Linked DNA regions of Daphnia pulex. The protein of the gene in region 2 purifies or fractionates together with the protein of the main gene of each other region. This does not show direct contact. Links are inferred from orthologs where the notes say so. Each region holds a gene or a part of one and is shown on either strand. Other genes may lie near its edges. The genes, in order: 1-phosphatidylinositol 4,5-bisphosphate phosphodiesterase-like; transient receptor potential protein-like.

Region 1 (14,474 bases), on a different chromosome or scaffold from region 2:
TGAGCGGGGTCTCGTACCAACATTCGATCCAGAAAGCCTTGTAAACGGGCGGAAACCTGACGTTCATCATAAACAAACAAACAAAAAAAATAAACGAACGAAATTAATACACAGATTGACGGCCTGCCAGACCAAACCAGCCAGCGGTAGCTTTTAGAGAGATTGAATGACCGTTGCCTTACTTTGGTAGCGTTGCGCAGCTTGGGTGGGGGCATATCCCGAATGCGTCTCATAGCCTGCAAGGGGGGTTCGTTAAAGAAGGGCGGTTCTCCGTCCACCATTTCAATCACCATTATACCTGTTTTGTTATTGTAAGAATTAATAATGGGAAAAAAAAACAAAACGTCGATGTCGTGACAGAGAGACAATGGCTGTCAAGGAATGTTGCATTGCCTTTCAAATCTTAGTTTTTTAAGAAAATATATTTTCTTTTATTTACCTAAACTCCAAATATCTACTTCAGGGCCGTAAGGTAGGCGGGATATCACTTCCGGAGACATCCAGTAGGGCGTCCCCACTAGCGACTTCCTTTTCGGTAGCTCTTGTGACACTTGAGCGCAGAAGCCAAAATCAGACAACTTAACCTGAGGTTTAAGATGGGCGTAAACAAATTAATTTTTACAAAAACAGATTGAAATAAATCAACAATAAATTACCCTTCCATCAGCTGCTAAAAGAATTGAATCTGATTTGATATCTCTGTGGATGACACCCTGCGAATGGAGGAAAGCCAGCGCTTGCAAACACTGGAGACACACAGTGGCAATTTGTTCTTCATCCATTCGAGCGTGAGTGACTATATCCGTCAGAGCGCCACCCTCTAAATATTCCATCACCACCCACAACTCGTCGCCCACCAGGAAACTGTCGTACATCTCGACGATATTCGGATGATGATAGTCGCGCATAATGACCACCTACGAATGCGAAGAGAATCTCAATGATAAATAACGACACAAAAATAAACAGCTACGCAGTTATTATACTTCGTTAAAGAGGAGTTCCCTTCGTTGCTGGCGCCTCAAATCCATCTTCTTGACGGCCACCTGTCGGCCAGTATTTTTCTCTACGGCGATGCAAACGACGCCAGTTGAACCTTCGCCAATCTTAATGAAACTGTCCAGGTTAATCCGTGGATCACCCGGACTGACGACCATTTGTAAAGCGGCGCGGAATTGTTCGTGAGTCAATCGTTGTTGCTGTTGTTGTTCTTGAGCGGCGGCGGCGGCCGCTGCGGCTGCCGCAGCAGCTGCAGCCGTCGATTTAGCCACCACAACACTTTTGCTATTGTTCAGCGTGTTCTGATTTTGGTCGGCTCCGCTGTTGTTGTTGACCGCGTTGCTGGATGGCGGTCGTGGCGGCTGTGGACTGATTTTCGGCGGAAGAGGACCCGGTGGTGGACCCGATGGATTGGATTGGGGTTGCTGTGGGTATCTCGACGGCTGCTGAGGATGAGCTGTTGCAGGTTGTTGTTGCTGCTGCTGATGTCCGTTGTTCAAAGTCATGTGTTGGAACTGTTGACTTGGTGGACGATAAGTGTTGGGAGGTTGAGGAGTCGTCGGACTCCGGGGGAGCGGAGAGTGCGACTGGGACGACGCCGACGAGTTCGAGTGAGGCGCTGAATGCTGTGGCGGCAGAGTCAAGTGAGGAGGTTTCATTGGCTGCGCGTTGGGTTGCTGAGGGCCTGGATGTCCATTGACGTTTTGACCGTTAGGCGGTCCGCCGTGTTGATAAGGTGGCGGTAGGGGTGGTCGATACTCTTGGTTCTGCCCGTGATTATTCTGATGACCAGCTGGGTAGTGGTTGCCAGTTTGGACTTGTAAGTGGCCCGGCATTCCGCCATGGCCAGGATGTTGATTCGGTATCGGATAACCAGGAGACGGACTTGTGCTGCCAGGATGCATGGCGCTTCCTTGAGGTCTTGGTCCTCCGCCAGGCTGATGCATTCCTTGAGACGGATGCATGCCGTGCTGCTGTGCCTGCATGCCGCCCTGTGGATGCATTGGATGGCCTGGTTGTGGTTGCATCGGTACGGCTTTCATCATCATCTGAGAATTCCGTTGGACAGGAGGTGGAGCTGGATAGTTGGGAGCTGGAGGTCCCTGTTGTTGTTGTTGTTGGTGTGGTGGCATCTGCTGCTGGGGCATGGGGTAACTTGCTTCCCGCAGGATTCCTTGTGGGTGAATCGGACGTCCCATTCCGTCTCTGACGTCTCTCGGAACGGCTTGGTGTTGATGAGGGAAATATCCTTGGGGATACTGCTGCTGCTGCTGCTGCTGCTGTTGGTGTTGCTGCGATGCGAGATAGCCTGGTCCGTAGACAGGCTGGCCAGAAGGATAGTTGGCATTATTGGGTGAAGGCAGAGGTGACGTTTCACCTCCTAATCCTTCGCCCATTTCTGGAACTGGTAGCATGGGTTTGTAATCTTTTCGGGCTTTGGGAGGGCTGGATGAGCGTAGACTGTTTGAACGGACCACACTGGATGTCCGAGGCAGTCCTGGTCCTCCTCCATTGTTTCCATTGTCGTTTTTACCAACCCCGCCATTGCCGGTGCTCTTGCCTTCTCCTCGTACGATCGTCTGCAACGACACATCCTTCTATTGAAACGGAATAATGAAATCAAAGGGTGCATAGCTGCTTCATGGAATTTGTTAGACGGGAAAAAGGTGGGACGACGACCACTGAATCAACGATGAAAGCAATAGCCCAAGTTTCTTTCGTGTCGGAGTTGGTCGGAAGCGGTTTTGTTGAGGAAAACCGTTACCGAGATTTCGGTCGTGATTCGGTGGTCGGAAGGTCATATAAGGGATATATGGATGTTTATTATGGGGTTTGCAGCTCTTGTGGTAGATTTTTTACCTTCAAATCCAGGACTTCTGTTGGGGTGATTTCAGACGGATCGATTAAAGGCGTCGGTCTGGACGATAAGGCACCCTTGGCCGACGGTGTAGGGCTCACGATGCCCGCCCACTGTGGCGGTAGTCCGACGTAGCGGTTCTCCCGTTTGTCAAAGCCCGTGTGCACCCTGTGCTCAAAGTTTTTAGGCAACGAAATGTCCAATTTCTTCTTCTTCTTGCTGAACATGGCGAATCAACTTTGAATATTGAAGAACTAGAACTATTCAAGAAAACAAACAATACAATCAGTTCCTTTTGAAACAGTACTAGTCGAAACACTTTCAAAGAGAAATAGCGGCACTTTACACACAATCTTTGCCGACATAGAAATTGAACGAACTAAACGGCATCACGCTTCATGTACCAATGAGAGTCTCGTTTCCTCTTCTGATGTTTGTATCTGCTACGACAACAAACACGAACAACAAGGTAAAAGTAGGAGCCAACGCGAGGAGAGAGAAGGACGAAACGAACCGTGTTGAACGACGTCAACAGCCGAATGACGTGCGGCGTATATACCTCCCTCCCAAAGGCGTCTGGTTTATGTTTCGTGCCGGAATGCGGCCGTAAAAAAAACGAAGACGACGCGCATACACACACAACACAACACACACACACAGACACACACTACCAACCTAGTTTTTAAGGTTGCTAGTTAACCCAAAATAACTCCATTATGTTCCAATCAAAGCCTATTGTTATGTTACGTGGCACAGAATGGTTCTGATTCAAATGCCCAATTACAATAAATGTTTTGATAACTTGATCGTCCAACTGTTAAAACCCAATTACAGGTGTAAATTTAAACCCTAAACTTGAACCACATGGGAGAGAAACATTTTCCATCTTCAACGAAAACCAGTTAGTAGGGAAACATCTCAGACGAGAGTTGAACACTATCTACTTATTCAATTCAAAAGCACAGCATTATTGTACGCAATGCAGTTAACTTCCTCAAATGAATCACATAAGGTCACAAAGGTAATGTCATTAAGGGCTTGTACACCTAACAAGATTGTAGACAGATTCAGTTTTGACAGGCGAAATGGGGGGGGGGGGGTATTTGTGAAGCCTTCTAAATGTTGATTTACTGAAAATCCTTATAACATCACTATGGTAACACTCAGGTAATGACAAAACACATGCACGCACTGGCCACGTACCAAGTCCACGTTTTTATCGACCGACTAATGCCGAGGATCAATAAATTTCACACATGAAAACAAAAGACTTGGCCTATGGAGGAGGTAAGATAACCAAATGTCATTCGGCCGTTGAAAACACCAAGCCACCCCTTTCACCTGTTAACCATTCAAAGAGCACAGCAAAAATGCACATAAACTCACCTTTAAAATGATAACACCAAACAGGAATCCAAAAGCACCACCAAATGAGCACTTAGAACTTAAACATCGAAGAAACTAAAGGAAATGAAAGAAAAAAAAGGCTGCGGAAGATTGTTTATAGTGAATCTTGTATGGCCGCCATCTTATTTGCTTGTTAAGGTGTTTCCCCCTCCCCCACAACAGGTGAAGGCTAACTAGTGACCATTGTTTTCACCTACCCATCAAGCGATTTATTATATTAATATAAGCAAGTCGTAAAATACAGCATAACTAAAAAAATATTGAATTTTCATTCGCCAATTTTATATTTTAGAATGCTGTCATAATAATATCATCTTTTTTTTTTTTTGCAATTTTATTTTATTTTTTGGAAAAAGAAATTCGTAGCGGGTCGCTGCTAAACAGAAACCAGACACTTGGCTTGGTTTTTTATTTATTGCGTTGTATTTGGATAAAAGAAATTCACAACTATGAATATATGCAATATCTAGAAGAGAGAGTGGGAGTGGACAAGTTCTGGAGGACAAGAGAGCAATTTAAAATTTTGCTCAAGGAATGAACTGTAAATTAAATGTGAAAACAAAGTAAAGAAAAAAAAATAGTATAGTTGGGATTGATTCACAAATCGGCTCATAGGCCGATCCAGCGCCATCTAACGAGTAAAGAACAATAGTAGTCCCAACGATCATAAGGCATAGTTTGTTGGCACACCCAAAAGATTTTTGGCTAGGTATGAAAAGAATGAAAAGATGAAATAAAATTTGGAAATAATACAGGTTACGGATTTGAATAACAATGAGAGGTACCAACAATCGCGGAATAGGAATTGCAACATCTACGAGTTTTCTTTAATGGATCCTTTTATGTTTTTAATGTAAAGAGAAATATACTCAAATGAAACGTATGGCGACGTACGGGGGGCATGGAAGCGCATGTTTAAGCAACAGCAGGTTCACATTATGTGATGGAATGTGATGACGAAGAATTTAATGAGTTGAACGCCACAGGTCTCAAACGAAGAATTCATATGGATTCGCCAGCTGGTACTCCACTTCCGCGTTCTTATACATCTCAATATTCTGTGAGAAAGGTATAAATTAAACAAAAAGAAGAAGTGAAACGGTTACAACTGCACAAGAAAAACAATATCTCTGTGTCTCCCGACGACATTTAAAGACTAGTAATAAAAATACAACCCTCAGGTGATCATCTAGATTGCAAAGCTCAAAGTGCTTCGAGTCGTTAAAGCGAAACTGTTCAACTGTACAACGAGAAGACTTTGTAATCTCAGAGCATTAAGTAAATAACAAACTAATGCGTTTGGAAAAGTTTAAGGTTTGCTTCGCTATCAAGCCCTTGAACACACGCGTAACCCTGTGCGTGTTTGGCGTTTAAAGTGAAAATCAAGAAAAAGTAAAAAGTTACCAGTTGAATGTCTCGGTTCAAGTCCTCCAGTTGCTTTGCATGCATGGCCACGAGCTTCTCCTTCTCTTTGCCCTGTTTCATGGCGGTAATTTTGCGTTCCTCGATAAACTTTTTGGTATTATTTTGGGCTTTTTCACGCAAACGGCGCTCCTTTTCCGCTTTGTTGCGCAGCGTCTTGTCGGCGGCCACTTCTTTGGCTGTTTCAACGGCCATCTTCGCTTGACGTGACTTCAGGTCTTTGTTCTCTCTATAAAATGGCCAACGATATCATCAACCGGCACCTCAGATCTAATAAAGAGCATAAAGATTTACTTCTCCAATTTGGCGTCCAGCAGCTTCAGTTGGGCTCCCTGTGCCCCCTGCATAACCGTTTTGAGAATGTCCTGTTGAGCCTCCAGTTGTTCCTTCAACAAGGTCCACTCCTCCTTCAAATGGCGCCCGACCAATTCGGACCACTCTTTGGCTTGCTCCGCTACCAGCTGTTTAAGGGCCGGATCGTTGATGAATTCGTCTTTACTGCAAATCAAAACGGAATGAATTTTGATGATGAAAACAAAAATTTCGCGGGGATCCTTTTTGTGGTCGGTTATACTTTTTCCCTTTAACGATCCTCTCGACGGCCGACACTTGGTTCTTCTGGATGGTGGCTTTCTCCTTTTGTTGGCGTTTCCTCATTGAATCAAGGTCCTTTTGGTGCTTCTTGGTCGCCTTGGCAAACGCTTTATCGCTGCGAAGAGACTCGAGGGTCACAGGTTCGAACTTCATTTCCTCTGCGATTCGATTCGGTTAAATAAACAAGCGTTGCTTAATGATTGCGCGAAATCAGAAATTCACCTCTTTTGACTTCTTCTTCGGCGGCTGGAGCTGGTTTGCCGCCAGTGACAGCAGCCTTGGATTGTTCTGATTCTTCAATTCCCATTTCCTTCAGTTTATTGTCTCGTTCCTTATTGGCAGACATAAATGCTCGAGGATCCGAAAGTGCGTCCATGAATCCTAGAAAACATGTCACAATGGTATCCTATTCATGCTAAAGGGGAGTGATATACGAGCACTTGGCGACACATACCTCCCAATCCATCCGGAACGTAGATCTTTAGCTCAATGTTACAAAAGAGCATGGGCAAAGCCATTGGAAAGTTGGCTTCTGTCCTTAGAGAGATGTGACGGTATCCACCTTGGAGACCGTCCAACGGCAGGATTCTTTGACCAAGAAGTTTGCCGTTTTCATCGTAGACTCCGAAACGGAGTACAGCTAAATCTGGAAGAACCACCTGATCATTTGAAAATAAAGAATATATTATATATATTAGACATCAATTCTTTTTTAAAATTTATGAATTAAATACTTTTCGGAAGAGGAAAGGTTCTTCGTTGTAAATGGGGTTGAGACCATTGGCGGGAACCATGCGAGTTCGAAACTCTTTACGGATGGTATCGGTTGGCAGACCGTACATGTCGACTTCAACATAAGTACCGACTTTCTTATCGGACAAAAACTGACCGGCGATAACCTATAGCAGGTGCCATGAAAAAAAGGAGTTTAGGTAATAAACCCAGGAAAGATTTATATAATTATTCTTATACCTGGACAGCGCATTGGGCGGCAATGACACCATCCACGGGCGATTCTGCAAACGGGTCGAAAGTTCTGTCGGGACGACGCATGAAATCGGGTTTCAGGAGGTAGCCGCAGTTTCCGTTGTACTCAAACTTGCCCTGATTGAGCTGGAACGGCAAATCAGGTGTCTGGAAGTTAAGCGACACCATCTGGGATCCAGCATTCCAGAACACCTAGAAAAACAATGGTAAGTATTATTTTTAAAATGCGTTCGGTATCAACAATTACGCATAGTTTACCTGGGGCATGTAATTGGAGGAATCGGCTCGAGTTCCCTTTGGATAAATACGACTCATTTGACGCTTGTTGTAGTTGACGAACTCAATGGCCGTAGTCTTCAGGTAATTGAGACCGGTGGTTTCCGCAAACGACGACATGTTGTGGTGAATATTTTTTTCTGCGTGATTTATTATGAGAAAAGTCACGTAATGCATAAGTTGCTGTCGCTTATTGCTATGTCAACCAAAAAGAGAAACTAAACGGATTTTGAAAAGTGGTTATATCTGTGGCAATCATCATTCACTAACAGGCCAAGCATAATTCATTCGGGATGCAGTTCTTTAACAAAAAAAACTAGTGGCATGGGAGAAGAAACATGATACCAAACAAGCAAATACTTCATCCAAACTTCCAGGCTCACGACTTACTATATTCGACGATCTAAAAATAAAAAACCTACTCATCGCAGAATGTACGACATTTTATTGTTTTGCTTTTTGCTCCTGCAATTCCCAAACGAAAGGAACTGAGCTACTGGATGACAGAAAATCGAGCTGCTACTTGTTGTGTGATTTTCCAATCATCTTACGTTCTGCCTCAGCAAATCCTTTGAAATGGACAGGCTGAGCATAGTTGATCATGGAAGACAGCCATGGATGGACAGCGGATGTAGAGCCCGAATGCAAGGGTACATCTCCTTCTGTGGGGGCCCCGGGTGCTGCTGGATCCCCTTCCTATTTAGACAAAGCAGCAAGGGCCATTCGTCCCGCGGAAAGAGTTATAACATCAAAAAGCTTTTTCCATCCAAAACAAAAAGAAGCTGCCACCTAACTGAATCCTTATCGATTCAAACTAAACAGTAGTCGACTTTGACAAGAAGCTGAAAAGAGTGATCCGATCCTATTCGGATGCAATCGTATGATAATGTCATGCAATTCGAGTAAAGAAAATCCCCAAAAAACATCGAACACAATGAAATCAAAATTAAACGATGCGCGTTAGCTGTATGTTGAGACCATCATGCTGAATCCTCTCAACTATCTGAGCTATATAGTTACACACTATTTATGTAAAGGCTCATATTTAGCTGTCAAAACAACACCGATACACATCGAGATAAGTTGCTTTTTGTTGTGCATCTTTTCGCTGTTTTTGTAAGCTGATTACCCTCGGCTACATCGAATCCCTGGAACTTGACAGGCTCTGCATAATTGACCATGGAAGAAAGCCAAGGATGAATGTGATTGGTTCCGCCTTTGTACTCGTACACCTGGAACATCTTCTCTTCAAAGCTGAGAGAGCGGGATTCGCTGGCGCCGGCTTCAGTTTCCTTATTTTGGTTTTGGTGTAAATAACAGACCAGAAATAGTTGGGTTTTCATTCATCAACGCTTTGACATGATGATGATGATCTCCCCCCAACATCATTATTTTAGAAAAGAGACGGAATTATATTTAATCAGGCAGAGAGCCCAGACTTAATGGTTTGACGTCCTTGTGTCTTGCTCGCGGCCCCTCAAAATTTTCTGTGAAAAAGAAATGTGTTGACGAACAACTCTGAAAATACCTTTTTATCTTCAGGAATAGGAGCCGCTGGCGCCGAAGCGTCTTCCTTCTCCTCGTCCTCTGTTATGACGAACTGACCCTGACGGAAGAGTTCAAGCTCTTGCTTTTCAACATCTGGCTTAAGTCGTTTGTTCTTGATGAGAATCTTCCGCTTCAGCTGGCTCGGACTTGGCAGAGGCACTCCGGGTTCCAACTAAAAGTAGACCACGAGATGAAAAATGCTGTTCAATGAAAACTTATGCCAGGCTAATTGTCGGGTGTCGGGGAGTAGGGTTTTCCATTGGGAGTCGGATCGAAAGTTGCCAGAACAGACGTGCCGATCCACGAGAAGCGACGAAACAACAATCTTCCAGCAAAAACAAGAGCAAGCGTAAACAATACACGGAAGGTTCAAGTCTCGAGGTGAATCGTAACCTAAATATTTACGAGTTGGTTCTTTTATCGCGCTCGTGGAACGTCATCCCAAGGTAGTCATTGTGAGGGACGTCAAACAGGGCCCCTGTTTGGTCTATTTTCGTTCTAGGCAGGACGAACGGGGTGAGGGAACTCGACATGGGGATACCGACAGGGCGCATCGTTACGTTTGTTTACCGGAGATTCAGGAATCGGTTCCTTTAGCAGGAGATCACCAAGGATTTCATCGCAATATTTGGCCAGCTTATACTGCTGGGCTCGACAGCAATGGTTCTCGAACGACAGAATGATCGGCCAATCCGAAGTGACAAAAGCGCAGTCGCGGATGGCGAGAATAACGTCCTGTCAAAATGAGAATTCAATTCCAGCTTTCGCGACATGGCTTCGCATAGGATTATCTATATATAGGCGACTCACGGACCTTGAAGAGAATCTCAGTACACATGGCTTTGCCGTGAGTAATGATGGGTTCTTCATCGCTGCCTTTGCCATCCCAACAATCGAGCTCGACACATCTAAACAGACAATTGTTAAGTTGATTTAAATTTATTCATTCCGACGAGTTTTGTTACCTGCAACCGGCCAAAAGGGTTTGTCGGTACATTTCCACCGAGGATTTACCGCCAAACTGTCGTCCACTGAGATAAGTATTGTGGGAAGAGTTGATGTAATAATGCGACAATGGTTGATCCATTTCCATGTAGATGTCAAGACGATCGAGCCATACTGGGGCATTGTCGTCAGACATGAGATAACGAATGAAACCGTCTTTGCTCAAGCGCCCTGTTGTTCATTGGATCAAAATTACTCATACATTCATTTAGAGAGCTAATTTTAGAAGATTACTTCTAAGGCGATTATCTTTGTCCTGTTCATACTCTTCAATAATTTCTGTGGCTCTTTTCTCATTATAGAGAGGATAAAGGATCTCGTTGAGGCGGGGATCGCGCTGTTTGTCGTTCAGAAAATCGATAAATTGAATGATCCCAATCGCATCCGACTTGCCTTTAGTGCTGCATGAAACAAAAGAGAAAATCACGTTAATTCAACCGAATGGCTGCACAAAGTTTTCATATCCAAGTGGATTAATTACAAACAACAGACATCACGATTAGCTGAGAATTATTCGTCTTCGGGAGACTTACATGGATTGAAACAATTCTTCGATATCATTTCTGGGACAAATTTTGTGATAAAGTGCGACGAACTTCTCGAACGTAAAATCAGCTTTTTCCATAGAATCGCCCTGGTGTGAAAAAATCGAATTTTTATGAGCAAATTGAATTATAGTGAGCAGACAAAACACGCAAACATGGGGAAAAGGGAGTCACGGGCTTCTGTGAGCCAATTGCAACATTGTTTACCTTTTCACTGGGAAGTCCTAATTCGGCGAAGGCCTGGTAGATGAGTTTCTCCGTTTTACCCGAAGCGAAAGTTCTGGCCACGACTTTGACTGGCACTTTACCGGCTGCATCCACCTGGAAGCCGAGTCGCATCCAACTGGAGCAGACAAACACGCAGGCAAACACAATGAGAAACGTTGAATTTGTAATTTAATAGTTTGAGAATTAGAAAATGCAAATAAGGTACTAATTTAGTGGTGCGAAACGTGCATCTAAGCAGAAAAATATTCAAAAGCACAAAGCTTTTTTGATATTTCATCATTTTCTAAATTGTGATGGTGCTCATGAAATAACATTGAAAATAGCATTCGCCTCCAGTCTATATAAATACTACATGCAAACTAGCAGCAATCATTCCATAGATATACGAAACCAAAAATGCTAGATGAACAGTGATGCTCCGAGGTTTGTGCCGTGTACTCATACATTGGGGAATTTTAATTTGGTCGAATTCATCGACGGTTCCCAGGGTGAGTACACGGCACACAGTAGAAGGACAAACTCACTGTTTCATCAAGTTGGTTGTAGGGCAGACATTGATGATCTTGTTCTTGTTGGTAATGGTGCGCAGACCTTCCTTCCACGTCTAGAATTGAGTTAAGGACAACAAGGTGGAGATGCGATTTTCGATCATTTTTCGATAAAAATAAAGGGAAGAGAAAAGAAAAAAAAACCAAATCTATGCGCTACTAATTTACTTCAAAACTAAAGAATATGTCCGCCATTTCATTCCGGGTTATAAATACTATTGGCGGAATAATCTTTCGTGCACGAAAACTTTGCTAATAAAAACGAAGTGAAGTCTCTCAAGTGGTAGTATAGATCCAGGCAAGACTGTATATGTAATAACAATCAACTAATTCGTCAATAGAGTTGTTTTCACTGCGTCGTCTTTGAATAACGAGTTTGTTTGTTTTGGTATAATTTACGTCGCGAGCCATTCGGATTTGCTTAAAAATTTCGGTTTTTATAGCGTTTCGTGCTGTGCGCTCTGATGCCGTGCTCTTCTTTCTAAATGCGATAGACTTACTGTTTCTTCAAGCACGTCATCGGACATATGTTGTTGGCTTTGACATTCGAGGTGATCTGCCGCAACCCTTCCAGCCACGCCTGTTCGTTGTTGGAGAAAAACCAATTCGATTCCGGTTCGATTATACATAGAAGAAGGTGTCAGTATCTTATTCATTTGATTCCCTCTCCCCCACCCCTTGAGCAATATTAGATATCGTCGAAGCTAATTGATTGAACACCTTTCCTTTCGCGTGAAAAAACTACGGTACAACTTGGCTGTTAAGCGGTAGGTGGCACTGAGCGATTATCGACCCACAAGGTTTTTTTTTTCTTTTCATCATCACATTCAACACTGTAGGGGGTGGGAGGTGTGTGTACAATAAAAAATCTATATATCTCTGTTCTAACAGAATCTTTTCCGCGCAGCCCGCAAGAGAAAACAACGAAAGGAAACCGGCACTCGACAGAAGAAACGAAAGACTAATTATGCTCACCTTGGCCTGTTCGGCTGACTCGCAAACGACGTGCAAATAATTGATGTTGACCATGTCGAGACCGCTGCAAATGGTCAGTGATTTGTCGTCGAGTTCCTGGGCGGTGTTGGATCCGTGCTTGCTCATCAACTGATTCAATCCACGGGAGTCCTATGAAAATAATAATAGCGATTCATTAATAACACGCTTGTTAGGAGACATGCTCTCTCGTGTTTCGTCATACCTTTGGAAGACCTCCCGATCGAACGTCGCTGACCTGGCTCAACTCCAGCACGTCGCCGTCCTAGAATTTGAGAGAGAGAGAGAGCGCGACATTTGAATCAATCAAAACGTCTGCCGTATTTAGCTGAATTTTTCCAAATCATGATAATTCAATTCTAACCCGAGGTTCCGACTTCCAATGGATGAAGAAGCCATACTCGTCGACCTGAAAGAAGCAACTCGGCTCTAAATCGAACGTGTCCTTTTCCTATAAACATTTTCCATAAGGAAAAAAACGAAAAAGAAAAAAAGCGGTAAATATTTATTTTCAGAAGCCTGGAAAATGCCTTTGTCGTTGCCTGCTACACACAATCGATAATTCAGTTCTGGCTGAGCGAAATTGTATCAATTTTGGGGAAGGAGGAGAAAAAGATTAAAATAAAATCAATTCTTGGGAAAAGAGGAAGAAAAGAAACAGTGAAAAATAAGAGAAAACAAAAGAAAGGCGGAAAACAAAGTTTGCTATTACTATATGGTGCCCCCGGTGGCAGCAACGAGAAAAAAAAATCAATAACGTCCGGACGAGATTCTTTGCTCTTTCTTCCTCCCTTTATATACGTCAACGTTTTACAATTCCTACGTGCGGAAATATCCGCTACATTTTGAATTTCAAAAAAATAAAAACAAAAAGAAAGGGTTGAATGTTTTCCAACTTACTTCGGTCCATTTATCAAAAGAGTTGCCTTGAAGAAGCGGTTCTGGTACGGGAATCCGCCAATTAAAATCAAACTTTTTTGTCATTTTCGCGCACAATAATTATTCGTGTCGGGGACCAAAAAATGAATAAAAACCAAAAAAAAAATTGGCCGGGAAAAAATGCTCACGGACCAGCAGTGGGCAAATTAAAATGAACTTGTTAACAATTCCACGGACGTTTCTAAAAGTGGAGGAAAATGTGAAAAATGAGGGAATTCTCTCTCTCCAGTTTCGGAGATGGTGGCGGACGGTGCGCTACTGAGCTTCAACGGGACTGAAACCCATCACATAACACCCAGAGAGAAAGAGAGAGAGAGAGGAAGTTCTCTTCCACGTTGCCTGGTTGCTGCGTGCGCGTCGACGAAAAGCTTAGCAAAAAGGAGAAATAAAAAAAGCACGGAGCGAAGTGCGGCGCGGGCTTCGATCCAGCTGGAAAACACCAACAAAGAAAAGGCAAAAGAGAGAGAGGGAAAAATTTATGGAAAAAGGTAAAGGGCAGAAGGAAAGTGTGTCAACGAGTTCGACTTTGAACGCACAATCTTTCGTGGGTTTTGCCCGTAAAGCCAATTTTGTTGGTGCAAACGAAAATGCCAGACGGTCAGCAAACGCAACACTCAAACTGGAACTAAACTTAAAAAAAAAAAAGAGTAAAAACCAACATTTATAGCTAGTCGATGCTTATTGTAGTGAACGCAGACTCTTCTCCGGATCAATAACATCAGACGAGATCGACGCACAACTCCACCAGAGTCCGGGATCGATGGAACACACACACACACACACACACAAGGAAGATTGGGCGTTCTTCGTCTGCGTCGTCATCCGCCATCAAGTGGCCATTTTTCGCCGCCAAATCTTATTCCGCAAAAATGACCGGTCTTGCTGCTTGCAAATGAACAGTAAAATAACAAAAGAAACATCTACTCTTCACTTTCTTTCCTTTTTACCAGTTCCCGGAATCATGACGATCTGGTTGTTGGAGCTCATTTATCTTCACGTTTCCTGACACATGCACTTGCACAATATCGATCAGCAAACAAAAACAGCTATGCTTCAGAGCACTCGAGAGCCACCGGTCGGTTCGTTACAGGTTTTCGTGCACCTTTTTTCGTCCGTGCAGATTAT
Region 2 (15,451 bases):
CCAAACTAAGAGCAGAACTACAGAGGTTGTTTAAGGTTCTTGTTAATACTTGAGTTACCAAAAAGCTAGTGCTCAATTCAACTTCATTAATGCGTCAAAAAATTCCGCCGTGGGTAATTAGGCCTACCAGGTAAAAGCCAATTAGCCAATTTCTATTCTCACAGTTTATTCCAGGAAGAATTGTTCGTGAAATAACGTATTTACATTACAGTACAAAAAATAAAACTATTTTGACAATTAAATTTTTCGTCTGCTCTTAGCAAATTGCGATGTTGTCGTTCGTCGGTCCTTCTTATTTAAGTGTTACTCGTTTATGTTTCACATTGTTCGAACAATTTTGTTTCTTCGCTTTCTTACTTGATGTTTGCTGCTTGTCTGATAGTGCTACATCTTGCAAATATATAGCATAATCTTTTTTGTGGGAAGGTTTCTTTAAGTGATTTATCAAATTGGTTGTATTCTTGCCAGATAATTCAACTCCACAATCCCCAGTTTTACACTTGCTCTTCTTGGATTTCTTGTTATACGTAAAATAGTTGTGAATTGCGTGACGTCGTTTTCGTACACCCGCTGGTAATAAAGGCCCAGCACATTCTAAATCCTCCTCTTCTTCACCGTCAACAGGAGCATCAGAGTCTGAATCTGACATTATAGATTCCTACTCTGCTTATACAGTTTCGTTTGCCAAGTTTTGAAAGCAAAAAAAAACCTTAGAGAAGCTAAGAAGACTACTGCTCACTGTCACTGGCTAAATTCGTTTTCATAGTCAACCTACTACAATAAAATGCTGGAAGCGCGCAAAAAATCAAAATTTCATAGGAAAAATCGGGAAAAATCCAAAAATTACATATTTGGAAGCGCTGTTAAAAACAAAAATAACGTCGAAAATAACGTCTGAAAAATGCCAAACGTTAGCGTTATCAGTTAAGTTAACGAACACCAAAAAAGGGCCGTTAACGGACTTTTTACGTTATCCGTTATCGTTAACGAAAATCACTACTTCTTTCTCATCACATCAGACAAATTATGAAAAAAAGCTTGCTTTGTTACTTTGATTAATAGCCTACCTACCGCATTTTCTTGGAGAACAACCTTGAAAGAAAAACAAACATCCTAGAACAAATGAATGCATAATTTTTTTGGGTAAATTTTTTATTTCTTATATTAGATATCAATGACAGCTGTGAATAAACTATCAACCAAGAATATCATGGAAGGTTGTTTTATCATATCCAAGATCAGCAGTTTTAACATCTTGGAATTCAATGTACATGTGATTGGGAGCAACACCTAAATGCTTCTCAACATGTTCACCAAGTATTTTTGAATAGCTTTTATTTTCATTGACTCCAAGTTTTCCAATACTCATTAGATGGGCAATGGCACATGGCCCCTCTTCTCCTCCCCAAATCATCATCTGGTCGGGAACAATTGTCACAACACAGTACTAAAATCAAAAAATAAAATTTCTTGCTCTGTCTTTAAACAAATTTGTAATGTTTTGATGTTATACTTACACTTTCAGGTTTACCCAGCATTTTAGCAATCAATGCAGAAGTCTCTTTCAAAAAATTACTTGGGATTGAACTTTTTGAAACATTGGTCGTGATTTTTAAGTGTGGCATTTTCCGTTAGAATTAAACGATTTGATGTTAGGTAATCAATCAAATCACGAATAACCCCAAGTACCAAGTTACAAGAGTAGTCTGCTAGGAAAACTTCCAAGAAATAGCTGATTTATGTGACCGCTGCTAGATGGCGTGCAAGTTCTTTGTTTTCCCGTATTAAATTAAATTAAAAATCAAAATAACTCGTAAAATAGATAGAAATTACACTTAAATGAATGTGTACTAAATATAAGATTATTTGTGTTATGTTTTATAAAAATTGATCTTGTATAAAATGTTTTTTTATGTCTCCCATCCTCCAAAATAATAGTTTATGGATATGGTTATGGTGTAAAGAATGAAAGTTGAAATCAGCTGTTTACTTGTTTAGTAGAACAGGATGAACGACTGCTGTGGAGTGTATTTACGAGTCTGATTTGTTTGAATGTATTTGAGTCGAATGTATATCAATAATGGCCAATGCAGAAGACCTGAACGCGATTTCGACTCTTCATGAAGACGTTTATCATGGAATTCATTCAGACAATGGAGAATGGGTCGATTTGCTCACACATCATAGAGAACCTGTTCGAGATCCGGTTGCTATTCGAGGTGCTGGGAATGTTACTGTGTAAGTGAAATCTGTCTCTGACATATTTTAGAAGTCGTCCGAGATGAGTAAAAAGTAAAAACTACCTGAAATTTAATTATCTGTTATTGCCTATTTTCATACAGGTTTGGACTTAGTAATCGTTTTGACACAGAATTCCCATCTGCCCTGACAGGCAAGGTCGCTCCTGAAGAGTTCAGCGAAACACTTCAGAGAATAAATTCTGTCTTGAAAAAAACTCTTCCAGTGAATGTTAAGTGGTTGTTTTGTGGGTGTATATGTTGTTGCTGTACTTTGGGTTGTTCACTTTGGCCTGTAGTTTGCCTCAGTAAAAGGGTAATGAGCGTAAAGGTTTCATTGACATTCCACTTGTGCTAACAATTTCTTTTCTTTCATTAGACAAGGCATGCACTTGAGAAACTTCTTGACTGGGAAAATAGCCACTTGTACAGTAAGTTGGGATTACATTGGAGGCTATCTAAACAAAGATGTGACAGTTCAGCCATGGTGGAATATGTAAGAAATGGAAAACGTTTTCACTTCTTTATTTTTTGGTATAATACTTGCCATGTTTGTGATACAGGTGCTATTGGTCGAATTTGTACCTCGACTTCAGATTCATCGTCCCGATTAACAGGAAATGGAAACTCAAGGAAAATTGCGCACAATTTTGACTGCTCATTGTTGGATGTCGTTTCTTATTCTTCATCATCGGCCAGAATTGTCTGTTATAAATGGTCTTTCTTACGCTTGTACTTTTCCTCCGAAAGGGTTTATTTGTCAGTATGACAACTTTAAGATCTCTCTGCTTAAATGTTGAACGACTCCCTAATCATGTAAACGTCTTTGTGTAAGTAAAACAAAAAAAAAACCCCAAAAAGAAGGAATTCGGAGCTTGCTATTGCGTGTATATTTAGAATGTGTTGCGGGCAATAAACATGTCGTTTATGGAGAAAACTACAGGATGGATTAACCAACTGGCAAGGCATAGCAACGAAAAGAATCAGAACCAGTAAGTTTTATTTCTTAAGTTAAAAGTGTCAAAATCTACTCTAGAAAAATTTAGACTTTATGTTAATCCATTTAAAACCATCCTTCTTTCAATGTTGTAGGACGAGAGGAAGGACGAGACGCAGCAGGTCGTGGTGAGGGTGAAGGTGAACGCCCTCTCTCATCTGGGCGTGAAGAAGCACTGATTGGTTGGAGCGTGGTTGGTGTAGGAGTTGGGGCAGGAGATGGTGGGGCTGCTGCCACAGTCCCCGAGACTGTGGGTATGGGTGTAGGTGAAGGAGTTGGCGCTGAAGTAGCTGCTTTAGGAGTCGGAGTAGGCACTGATGCAGGCACTGGTGTAGGCGCTGGAGTCGGAACTGGAGTTGGAACTGGAGTTGGAACTGGCGTCGGAGCTGGCGTCGGAGATTTAGGAGCTGGAGTCGGAGGTGCAGGACTAGGCGCAGGAGTGGGTGGTTTAGGAGTTGGAGTCGGAGTGGGTGGTACAGGAGTAACTGATTCGTTCTCTTCCAGATGAACGATGGTATCCAAATTTGAGTTTGGTTTCGTTTCCGATGACTGCTCAACTCCGGCAGCGATCAGTTTGTTCTTCATATCCGGATCGGATGCCAATTTCTTCAAGGAGACGGTACTCTTTTTCAATTTCTTTTCCATCTTTCTGTCCTCTTTGCTGCCTGTTTGGTTGTTTTCATCAATGACGCCCAGCGTATTGCGCTTGAACTTGGCGTAGGCCACTCGGGTGGCGGGTGTGTACTCCTTAAGGCGAGGATTGTATTCCGCGATACGTTCAGGATCCATGGACAAGAGATTTTCCCTTTCTGATTCGATAATGGAACGACGGAGCGACTGTTGCGACCACCTTTGATTACTTTGGGCTCTGGATCCGATAGGATTCCTCCTAATCGACGCTCTGCTGGCCGCCATGGCGTTCCATTCGTTTCGTTTCTTCATCTTGGAGCTACTGCGAGATGCCATGACTTTAGCAATTTTGCCAAAGACATCCACAGGTCCCTTGTCTGCCGAGGCGTTCGCAATCACGGAGCTGATCAAATCTTCCACCATACCAATCTGGAAGCCCTTCTTCAGACGACGCTCACGAAGTCTTCCCTTCTTTCCGGCTGCGTGAGTAATCCAATCAATATAATATCGTTAGAGTAAAGAAATGGGAAAATAATAATGAAACAATTTTAAATCAAAATGGCAGGTACCCGCGTTGCCGGCCTTCTCAGCGTCGCCACACTTCATTCCGTTATTGCGGAGGATGTCGAGCAACTCGAAACGGAAGGACGAAATGTCTTGTTTGATTTCATTGACGTCGTCTTCGGTAACGCCCATTTCTTCGCTCTTCTTTTGCTCGGCCGTAACTATAAATATTTCAACATTTCATTCTCATTTTTACAGATTTTGAAGGGGATTCATTACCATAGCGCCTAACCAAAAGTCGCATCACCTCCATGTGTCTGATTTCGGCCTTGTGTTGATTCTTTTCCTACGTACAGGTAATACGTAAAAAAGTGTACAACTTCAGATAGATTTTCTTATGATTCTTGGTACCTTAGTTGCTTCGGTTTGTTTTTTCTTGCACACGTTAAACATGGATTTCGGCGTCGGCATGATGTTGAAAGGCGGCGGAACAGTGGCGCCATCGTCGAAATAGCTGAGCCAAAGTTTGGAACGAGCAAATTTCCACTCGGTATCACTCCTCGACTATTTAATTCAAGTTTGATTTGAAATTTTACATTTTGTTTTTCTAGGAGATTTTGTCTTACGGCGATTGCGGCATAAGAGTTGGACATCATGGCAATCAACATGTTGAGGAGGACGATAATGTTGATCATGGAATACGATCCGAACATGAGCAAGCCCCAGAAGCGCGTGAAACCTTTGATGCCTTGAAGTTCGAATGATTGCAAATCGACAAGACCGAAGCTGGCCCAAAACAGGGATTGCGACGTCTCGAACAAACTGTCGAAACAGAAACTCATTAAAGGTAATATGGTTTTAATTTGATTTTATAAAAGTGAGTTACTTTGAAAATCGGCGCCAAAAGAAACAAGCTTCTTGTTCGTTTTCCCAATCAGGACCTCCGTTAGGCAAGCAGAAACATTTTTTCCTGGTCAAATCGGCGTAGTACCACATCAGTTGATTCAAACCTATTCAATTCCCCGGGTAATATTTCAAATGGAATTTTAGCTCACTACTTTGAAATTAATTTCCCGTTTCTTTGGTTACCGCATCCGAAGGCGACAAGGACCAACATGTAGATGAAGAAGAACTTGATGATGTCGATAATAATTCGGCCGAGAGAGATTTGCAGCGGACCCAGATGCGGAGAGATGGAGAAAACGTGGACCGTCTTCAGATAACTGGAAATAATGGTAAAGTTGAATAGGATTAAAATTGCTTTTTTGTGGGGGGTTCAATAATTTTGGGCACCTGAAAATCATTGCGGCGCCAAACATTCCCTCGCTTAGTAACATGGGGTCGAACGTACTCCATTCCTCTCGCGGATACCAAGGATTCAGTCCTTCCCATTGTTCCCTCTACGTAGTATCCCCAGATAATTAGATTACTCATACGTACACGACAACTTTATTCTCTCTCTCTCGGTGCGGTGTGTAATCTTGAACACTATTTTTGAGGCTTCGCTCAGACGTCAGTCAGTCAGTCGAAACAGGAAATTGATTTTTTTTTCTCTCTTTCCGAGTTGTAATTATTTGATTTTTTCCAACTTCATCTTTTTACCTGAACGATGAACCAGGCGACACCTCGTAAAAATATCCAAGCCAGGAAGAAGCTGTTTGAAGTGAAATCAATCAAGTTCCATAAATCCGTGATGTATTCCATTAGACCGTCGGACCATAATGAATGAACTTCCGCCCAGATGTGCCCTGTTTGTCAAAGAAGGAACATTTTTCAGTTGCAGATGTTGCTTATTGTTAGAATCGCAGAGTCATTCGAACCGAATATGTATAACATGATGAAAAGTTCTATAGGTCCGGGTATGGATCCCCTTTCGCGACGTTTCCAATCTTCCATGATTTCCTGCATCCATTCAGTGCCAAACCATTCAATGAGGAGGTATTCAACGCGTTGAGAAGCCAGTCCGAGTAGAGCTAAATAATGGGGAATCAGTTCATAATTGCTGCAGTCGTAGTCAAATTTTATGGCGCATTACAGAGAAAGAAGAGATACGAGGCCGAATGACAAATGAATTTGACGAAAGGTTTCTTGATGAATTTCCCCTTTTCCGTCGTTGGCGCAATCATGTAGAGCATCGAGTAAATGGGGAATTTGGCCGCGATTTTCATCGTCTCGACGATCTGGCCGATGGCCGAGCGGCGACGGAATCCCGGCAAACCTTGGTACCAAATAGCTCCCAGCAATTGTTGCACGTTTGCGTGAGCCACAAACTTTAGAACGGGTTAGGTTAGGTTTGGGGTTTTGAAAATGATTTGTTAGACGATTATAATTAGCCTGATAATACGCACATCTTTTTGGGTGTACTTGATGGCCAATTCGAGTCGGTCAAGAGTCTGGCGGTCGCCGGGCTCCCAAACTTCTTCAGAGTCGTGAGAATAGTTGAGTAGCGTCTCCAATTCGTAGGAACTTCGGACATGGTCTAGCAAAGACGTCGCAAACTTTTGGCATTGTTCTTCCAGTTGCTGCCCTCGTCAAATCATGGAAATATTTATTAATCTGCTTCTAATTTAACTCTGGTCAATTATAATTAGGTCCGTACCTTGTAGTCGACGGTGAATTCGGATTCGATGATGGACATGCGGTTCAATTCGTTGCTCAACTCGAAAGCCGTCAAGACGGGATCCTTGCTGGACAGGGCGATAAGAGATGGCGAAGCTAGTGCGCGGTAGGCATTGATCCTAGAGCGGGAATGACGCAGAGAATCGGCCTTGCTGGAAGCAATGCACTCATCGCAGCCGCACCTGTTCAATCACAATCGATTCATTAATTATTATTGATCCTGATGGGTTTTTTCTTGTAATTACCGGACGTCATGGGGCATAGGTAAGGCAGCGCCACGATCCAGCAGGAGTTTCAGGATCTCGTAGTTGTTCCGGTGAGCCGCCAGAATGAGTGGAGTGATGTCGGGCGTAAAAGTGGCATTTTCGCTGTCCAGCGTTTCCCAGCTCTAGAAGAAGAAAAACAGTAAAAGAGAAATCCTTTTTGCTCTTTCAGCGATTATAGAAATGTCTAGACGTACGTAAGGAGTGCCATCCTTGTGGTTTTTTTCTTCCCATTCAAGAAGTAACTCGACGGCCTCGACGTAATCCTCGCTGATGGCGTGCAGGAGCCCGTCAGACACTTTAATGCCACCTTCGAGCAGGACTTCAAGCAGCTCGTAGCTCTCGTTTTCGATGGCGATAACGAGCGACGTACGACCCAGCGGATCCGTGCAGTTCAGGTTCAAATCGTTTGGGCGATCCTTGTAGTCTTCTATCAAGCTGTAGAATTTTGTCAAATTATTTGTTCCAATTTTAAAGGGCTCCTCTAACCAAAATTCGGTGCTATGCAGATGTAGGATTCACTTAATCCCTTAAGATATAGGATATATGACCTTCGCCATGTCTTGAACAAATAGGACAATGCGCTTTCAGTGTCACGTTCTGCAGATGCAATACCTTTTCTCCTTTTTTTTGTGTTAAGGTCAATAGCGACAAGAGCAAATAACAAACTGGACGTCAGGGGGTTTTGACTGTTTCTTATACTGATATTCTAGGAATGGCTGTTTTTCATCCGCTCAAAAGTTGACGGAGAAAAAGGAGTTGGTGCATGAAGGAGATTTTCCAAAAGGAGAGAAAAAAAAATAGGGAACTCTATTGAAAGAAATCTGTTTCCTGCTGGATCTGATGATTCGATTTTCCGCGTGCCTTTGCACGCGGGAAAAAAAGGAAGAAAAAAGTTGGGTTTCTTTTCTTTTTTGGGTCCCTGCAGTAGTATTTATGTAGACACTAGGAAAAGCGCTCCTTGTTGAGTCTTACTCGGAAGTCCTCGAGCTTAAATATGTGGGAGGGGAGAAGGGTGGACAAGTTTTCTCCTTGGGAGAGGGGCTTTAGCTGTGAATAAGGATATGGAACTGGCAAATCGGTCGGGCGTGTGACTGACTAAACATTGAGTTGAAATCGGATTCTTGTTGGTTCGCAGCTAGCACTTGAGTTTGAGGTCGGAATTGGCCATTTTTGCAAGGAAATGGAATTTTGGGACCAACCTGCGGACTCCGTTGAAATCACCGCGCTCGACCAGCAGCAAATATCGTTTCTCTTCGTTTTTCAGGATCGACTCGACGGGCGGGCCCATCACAAACTGCGGATCTTCTTTGATACTTATCTGTCGCATGGTCACAAGGTCAGTTTCGTCATTTTTAAAAATTAAAGTTATGTCATTTTAATACCAGGCTCTGCTGCGAGTCTCGGGAGATGAGACCCTCCCGAGAATCCGATTTCTTTTTTCCTTCCATTCTTTTCGCTGCACCGGAATAGATTCAACTTTCTAAATTATTAAAACATTCACAGGTAATAAAAGGCGATACTTACACATGATGATGGCCTACCATCCAGGATCGGACGGACTCGTTGGATTGTCCGAGCGGCCAGCTGGCGTGCCGGGCTACTGAAGGCTCTGCAAAACTCGTCCACATACTTCCTCGTTTTTCGGTGGAATCATTCGGCTATTTTCGACTAACTAATCTTGTTAGGCGTCAGCTCTATCTACACACACACACAACATACTCTCCTGTGTGTTAGTTTTAGAATTTTGCCATTCTTCTTTGTCCCGATGTTTCACTTAAAAGGATTACTCTATGGTGGTGGCTTCTATCAGAACACGTATAGATATTCCCCGGCTGCCCTTCAAAAACAGTGGCCCCTCTCAATCTGCTGTCCGGCTATATTTTGGTCCTTCCTATATGTACATCGTTTGATTTATCACGATCGAAATTATTGATGTATTCGTCCATTTTGGTATTTTTTTCCCGGGGAAATCTGGAAAAGGGGGGCACAGTTATGCGCTTATAAAATGCTGCTGCTTTGTTTTGTTATTATTATTTTGTTTTTCTTTTATATGTACTTCCTTCTTCTCATGTCGTTCGTGATCGATTTTATATCAGTTACACCCGGTGGGGTATATGTATATAGTATAGGAGATGGCTCCTCCATGTCAAGGCTTATTCTTTTTGAGTAGATTCATCCACGACATGGTTATACGGCTGAGAATGATGAGAGGAATTTGTATGCGGTTTGGAAGGGTGGAGTAACTCGAGTATCTGCATGGACACATCACAGAGAAACCTACATGTATACAGGCGGACTGTGGGCCGGCCTATCAATTCACGTTCGCCAACCGTGACGGAACGTGAAGCTACATATAGTCTGGAGTAGTAATAATAGTCTGCATCGCCGCTGATCACGTCTATAGCCTATACATATGAACTATTTTGCCGCTCTCTTTTGTGGCTGCTGCTTCCGCACAACAAAAAGAAGGGACCTAATATCGATCCATCGCCCGGCTCGCCTTTCTATTTTCAGGATATCCACTCACTTGCTGTACAGTTACATCCTCTACATACATGCGTCCATGTAAATTTCTCTTGTCGCTGATATTTGTGATAAATTTACCGAAACATTCAGAACGTTTCACGCACGGATCGTCCAGTTTCTCCCAAGGCCGGAAGGGAGACAGTTTACACTGACAATTTAATATTTAAATGTATTTAAATGTGTGGAAGGAGTCGAATAAACATAATGAACATGACCTACATTATTTTGTATTTCTTGGCTCGATGCGATGGCCTTTTTTATTCTTTTCTGGATGACATCGATGCGCTTTTGGCCAGTTACATGAAGAACCATACTGACATATTTTGCTTTTTTTTCCTATTGCTGCTACTTAATTATGTCGGAAATTTGACTTTAAATAAATGAACAATGTCCGCATGACAATAGTGCAACAATGGGTGTTATGGGAATTTCGAAATTCATCAAATGCACATTAATAGTTTAAGTGTTCCAATTGTTACCTAGCCATTGAAAATACTTTCCCTGTATATTTTAAGTAGATTGTTTAAGATTTAATTAATTTGGACTATGACTATCATTCAATTATAACCCATCCTTTTAAGGAAGATCGGCAAGTGTATCAACCACCCGAGATTGATTATCTAGCCAGTTCATTCAACCTCAGCCTCAACTGTTGGTAGGACTTCCGTCTTTCGGGGGTGTAAAATTGATGATATTCATGCATGTTGAAATAAAACAATCTGTTGCCTACTTATATATTAATACCGTCAAAATTGTATTGACTTGTCAACTAGCGTGTCTAATGCGTTTATCTATGTGCAATACGGAACTATGAAAACTTTATTGCACAAATGGATGGATTAATCCGTTGTAGACATTGTTCATTTTTCTATTTATACATGTCTAGTACATGTTACTAGCAGCAACAGGAAAAATCCAAATTATGTCAGCTTCAAATCTGAACCAAAAAGCCCTCGGTATCCTTGACAAAGCCAATAACATACTAGCATATGACAACTGGCACATAATTTGCATTTTTTCCTTTTACTGCTATTAACTTATAGCATAGATGACGTTAGATAAATGAACAATGTCCGCTTACCATCAGTACATCAATTAGTGTTATTGTTTTTTTCATATTCCCAGGTGAACATTGATAATCGCCGTGTGCACACTCGTTAACTAGCTAATGCAATATGCTTACCAGATTGCTGTAAACACAGAAATTTTATATTCAATACAACGTAACGGCTACTGTCTTGCACATTTCCGGGGAGATATATGTTCACCAGCTTCTTCACCGTAATCGTATGAATCTAATCTATGATATCGGTCGCGATGGTCGACTTTCGCCCGCTATATCATAGAATTTGATATACATCATGCTGACAGTAGTCCATGAATAGTAAAGAAAAAATTCATGTTGTCTTAAATAATATTTCAAAGAACTGTGCAGTGGCTTGATAACTAGATTGCGCACTGTTGGTATTGCATGCACCTTCGAAATTACAAAAATTGAATTGCACCAATTGGAGTATTAATTCGTTGAATAGACTGTTCATTTTCCTATTTATACATCTCTGGGACATGTTAATAGCAGCAACAGGAAAAATGCAAATTATGTCAAATTTCGCATTTTGCGTTCTTTTGTTGGTATGACTAGCTACCGGGTACGCATGTTTCGTTTGAGGAAGGTCACGCACGAGCACTTAACGTCGAATGTCCTTGCCCATGCATCTATATTGAAACTTTTAAAAAATTGCCCTTTAACGAATTGTTTTGAAAAAACGAATCATCGATTCTCGATAGAACAAATTTGAAAGAAATGAGCAGAATTTTGGTCATCTGACATCAACGCCGTGTGTTCTTTTTTTTTTTCTCAATATGTTCGTCTGCTTTGTTGTGGTGTACGGTTGTAACCTGCACACGTTTCACGTGGTTCGCATTTTTCAAATTAACGCAGTGCTCGACATTCTCGACATTCCCGGTGTGAATTCAATGGCAACCAGTAATAAAACTGAAGTGACGTGCGCCTATTTCTTGCAGACCAAGAAAAGATATTGCCGCATGTCAGTTAAGACCGGGCGCAAGTTCTGCGGTGAACATGCCTCTTTGGAAGCTTCCAATCAAGCCTGCCCTACATCAGCTGCTAAATATGCACGAACGCCCTGTCCCTACGACCCCAATCAGTAATAACAAACATGATTATTTAAATTTTGTTTTCTTTTATGGATAAATGGTCTGTTGTACATTAATGGACACATTTACAAGTAATTGGTGGAATTCTTGAATCTGTTAGTTACGTCTTGACTGAACAATAATGTGTCACATTTTCAGTTCATGTTTTGTATCACAACTGGCAAAGCACATGGAGAAGTGCAATTCAAAACCCCAACCTCTGCCAGAATACATCAAGGAAAATGTAAATGTGATTGACAGCAATGACGAAGAGATCAAAGTCAACCTTGGCACCCTCACTGATGACGAACTGCTGGCCATCATCTCCAGGGTTTCCAAGATCCACTCAGGTGGGTGTGGAACGGTCACTTGTTGAGAGTTTCAACTTTTCTTTTTACCTTCCCCAGCTCAACGAAAACCCATCCCTAACAGCATCTTCATTCATGTCCCCATAGATTTTGTTGGAGAGCTGCCAATTTCCGTTGGACGTCACCCAGTTCTAGAGTCGACACTCGCTTCGCTGACGGAGAGCCGTGGGAGCTGGCGTCACGTCTTTCAATCCTCTTCCATTTTACACAATATGGCTCGAGTTGGTGTTTTGACGTCTGGAAAATCACGTAGCACTTACGTCGAATTCGGTTCAGGCAGAGGTATATACAGCTTTAATTTCAATATCTTTTCTTTCCCGAAACAGTATTTACAAACAGGGCACGAACACGACACGATTTAGTTTGTAATTTAGTTTTTTTTTTGTACGTTTAGGGCAATTGAGTTACGCGGTCGGCCAGGCCGTCGACCTCGATACCGATGCATTGCTGATGATCGACAAATCTTCGCCGAGGCACAAGCACGATAACCGCTACAAAGTGGACGGTGAGAGTCACGCGTCCATTCATCGAGTTCGAGCGGACATTGCTGACGTCGACTTGGGTCAAGTTCCGCTCGTCCGAAACGACACTCGACGCCTAGTCGGCATTGGTAAACACTTGTGCGGAGCAGCGACAGGTAAACACGCCAACTTTTTCTTCTTCAAATGACTGTATATTTTTTGTTGTAGAAATGATTCTTTCTTTTCAAACAGATTTAGCGTTGAATTGCCTCTATAGAGCTAATAACCCCGTCGGATTGGTCCAAGGTGTTTGCATCGCCCTATGCTGTCATCATCAATGCACCTGGGGGCTTTACGTGGGTAAAGCCTTCTTCCAGGTAATCATGACTTTTCCTGTGCCAACTGATTGCCCATTTTTCCAGTCTAAATTATTATTTTTTTTTCTTTTAAATGTTGATTTAAAAAAACTAGGAATTGGGTCTGAGTCAGACGGATTTCGCCATCATGAGGGCCATGACCAGCTGGGCAGTATGCGGTTCACGTCGTGCTAAAGAACACAGCGATGCTGGTCAAGAGGCTGGCGAAGTCACTAGCGCCTTGCCCGGTAGATATGCGGCCATGGGCCTGGATATTGAACGGCGGGAAAAAATCGGCCGCCAGTGTAAACAAATCATCGACCGTGGCCGAGTGGCATTTCTGTCTACGTGGCCACTTGAGGCCAAGCTTTTGTACTACGTAGAACCGGACATTTCTCCTGAGAATGTTCTCCTCCTTGCGCATATTTCTTAAATCCTTATTCCTTACTTTTTTTTTACAGAGTGGAAATAAACATCTTTTTTAACATCGACAAAATCGGTGAAGCTTCAGAAACGCGATTGCTGATTCAGCGGAATAGCCGGGCCGGACAACGGATAGGTTTGACTGGTTCGCTGGAAGGAAGGATTGCGGCAGCATGTGCAGGTTTTGTTCAACATTTTAGCGAAAGCCCGGCGGAAATTGGCGTTGCAAAGCGGATAGAGGACCGGGTTGAGAGTGGAATTGATGTAGCCCAGCCACAGAGTGATTTTGAAGAGTGTGTCACCGATGCAGTCCGGGCAGACGGCCACGACCAGGAACACTATGAAGTAAGGCAGCCAGCAGACCATGAAGGCGCAGACAATGACGCCCAGTTGCCTAGCAGCTTTTCTTTCTTTCTGCGAAATCAGCACCGATGGAGCGGCGGAAGAGGCAGTCGTTGATCCAGCAGCTGCTGCCGGATTATTGGCGAACAACTTTGTCGATGGCCGGCGAAGTTGCTGCTGCTGTTGTCTGCAGAGGCTAACTTTTTCGCTCACCAATCGATGGTTGTTTGATTGACTATCGACGACGTCGTCGACGTATTCAACTTTGACTTGGACATTGATGTAATGAGTTGTGCTTTGCCGGGCTCCGTCCACTCCGCCGTCGCTTCCGTGCAGTTCCATCAGCGTTAGACTCTCGTAAAAATCCAATATCGAACGATCTGCCCGGATCCTTCTCGAGTGAGTCGACCCAGCTGGTTGCAACGCTCCCGGCCCACTTTTCTGACTGCTGCTGCTGTACCAATTGAACTTGCCGCTTACGTGATTCCAGCTCCGGGCTATGGTGGATATTCCACGCTCCAGCCGTTTCATATTGGGTTGATCCTCCAGTCCTTCGTCGTCCGTTTCCAGGGCCTGGAGGCTAGTTGAATCACCGTGGTCCGAGACGATGGCCGGCGCTTGATTGTGACTCTGTCGTCTTCTGGCCGTCGAAACCATCACTTCACCCAAATCGTTGCGGCTCCTCTGGCGGATCGTCCGGAATATTCGCCCGTAAATGTAGAGCATCGATAGCGTTGGCACGTAAAAATTAGCCACCGCAGCAGTGACCTGTTGAATTATAAATACCGGATAGAAAAGAGAAAAATCGATGAAATACTTTAGTGAATTAATTTAGCCTAGACACTTTGGGCTTGCAAAACAAGATGGATCGGAATGTTTTCATCTGGACGAGCAAAAAAATCCATTACGACCGGAACACACAGTGGTGGCGGAGAAGAATTTATCCATCTCTTTTTATTCGTTGTTGACGTCAGTCCGTCGTGGCTTTCTCGGTACTTTCTCTCTGGCGTGTGTTGAAACTCGTTTATTAGGTGATTTTCAGAAGCTGTTTTTGCGATCAACAGAGAGAGTGTACATGTGATCCATTACGAGCCTCGTCGCTTGGCTGAACTCCGTGTGTGCTGCTGTTTGGACAGTTATCTCTACCTTGGACTGTACACGCGTCACGAGTCATGAAAGCTTAGATCCGTCGAAGGTGTGTGTATAGCTAGCTGCAAGAGAGACTCGGGGGAGTGTAGGGAAAAAACTGCCTGATGGGCATAAAAAAAAAGGGGAGGGGGAATATTACATCCTAAAGATATGAGGCGGAAGTAAAAAGAAAATGAAAGTGCTTCTGAGAGCGAACTCGTGTTCTTCTTCTTCCTTTGCACCGATTTCTTTTTTTTGGGTAACGCTCCCGCGGCCAAGTTTGCCGGACGCTGAGCATGCGTCTTTCAGTTGCGAAAGAATGTTATGCAGTTTCCTTTTTATTTTTTAAATCCCTAAAAAAAAACAGTGAGAAAAATGGAGGTTTGCAAATTGATAACATTGTAAGGCACCTACATTCTCATGGCAACAATGGCAGA

The links.
Region 1: the proteins of transient receptor potential protein-like (region 2) and 1-phosphatidylinositol 4,5-bisphosphate phosphodiesterase-like purify together in Drosophila melanogaster (affinity purification with western blotting; 3 studies listed by BioGRID). This does not show direct contact. The link is inferred for Daphnia pulex from reciprocal best matches to the Drosophila melanogaster genes trp and norpA.

What each region holds. Positions count from the first base shown.
Region 1 is NC_060017.1:2,925,415-2,939,888, forward strand, and holds 1-phosphatidylinositol 4,5-bisphosphate phosphodiesterase-like, read right to left. Parts: upstream 13,630-14,474; 5' UTR 13,395-13,629; coding exon 13,311-13,394; intron 12,862-13,310; coding exon 12,775-12,861; intron 12,676-12,774; coding exon 12,616-12,675; intron 12,543-12,615; coding exon 12,393-12,542; intron 11,998-12,392; coding exon 11,918-11,997; intron 11,474-11,917; coding exon of another isoform or gene 11,394-11,473; intron 10,985-11,393; coding exon 10,849-10,984; intron 10,731-10,848; coding exon 10,630-10,730; intron 10,498-10,629; coding exon 10,331-10,497; intron 10,268-10,330; coding exon 10,057-10,267; intron 10,000-10,056; coding exon 9,906-9,999; intron 9,827-9,905; coding exon 9,662-9,826; intron 9,264-9,661; coding exon 9,072-9,263; intron 8,836-9,071; coding exon 8,673-8,835; intron 8,240-8,672; coding exon of another isoform or gene 8,095-8,239; intron 7,684-8,094; coding exon 7,526-7,683; intron 7,460-7,525; coding exon 7,253-7,459; intron 7,180-7,252; coding exon 7,015-7,179; intron 6,940-7,014; coding exon 6,735-6,939; intron 6,662-6,734; and 11 more. Other genes in the region: serine/threonine-protein kinase PAK 5-like, read right to left, coding at 1-56, 183-298, 440-584, 657-917, 987-2,597, 2,860-3,084. UniProt on the Drosophila melanogaster protein: The production of the second messenger molecules diacylglycerol (DAG) and inositol 1,4,5-trisphosphate (IP3) is mediated by activated phosphatidylinositol-specific phospholipase C enzymes. Essential component of the phototransduction pathway.
Region 2 is NC_060025.1:8,983,599-8,999,049, forward strand, and holds transient receptor potential protein-like, read right to left. Parts: upstream 8,872-15,451; 5' UTR 8,782-8,871; coding exon 8,778-8,781; exon of another isoform or gene 8,757-8,777; intron 8,710-8,756; coding exon 8,636-8,709; intron 8,590-8,635; exon of another isoform or gene 8,572-8,589; coding exon 8,453-8,571; exon of another isoform or gene 7,689-8,452; coding exon 7,448-7,688; exon of another isoform or gene 7,376-7,447; coding exon 7,233-7,375; exon of another isoform or gene 7,170-7,232; coding exon 6,968-7,169; exon of another isoform or gene 6,960-6,967; intron 6,891-6,959; coding exon 6,717-6,890; intron 6,639-6,716; coding exon 6,404-6,638; intron 6,342-6,403; coding exon 6,189-6,341; intron 6,117-6,188; coding exon 5,971-6,116; intron 5,769-5,970; coding exon 5,662-5,768; intron 5,604-5,661; exon of another isoform or gene 5,592-5,603; coding exon 5,458-5,591; intron 5,395-5,457; exon of another isoform or gene 5,379-5,394; coding exon 5,255-5,378; intron 5,216-5,254; exon of another isoform or gene 5,191-5,215; coding exon 4,995-5,190; exon of another isoform or gene 4,980-4,994; intron 4,933-4,979; coding exon 4,780-4,932; intron 4,715-4,779; coding exon 4,648-4,714; and 6 more. Other genes in the region: uncharacterized protein LOC124202754, read right to left, coding at 358-649; macrophage migration inhibitory factor-like, read right to left, coding at 1,196-1,447, 1,518-1,625; cysteine-rich hydrophobic domain-containing protein 2-like, read left to right, coding at 2,081-2,238, 2,343-2,553, 2,617-2,733, 2,801-2,851; tRNA:m(4)X modification enzyme TRM13 homolog, read left to right, coding at 11,643-11,947, 12,096-12,286, 12,392-12,586, 12,699-12,941, 13,018-13,142, 13,237-13,554; 5-hydroxytryptamine receptor 1B-like, read right to left, coding at 13,629-14,654. UniProt on the Drosophila melanogaster protein: A light-sensitive calcium channel that is required for inositide-mediated Ca(2+) entry in the retina during phospholipase C (PLC)-mediated phototransduction.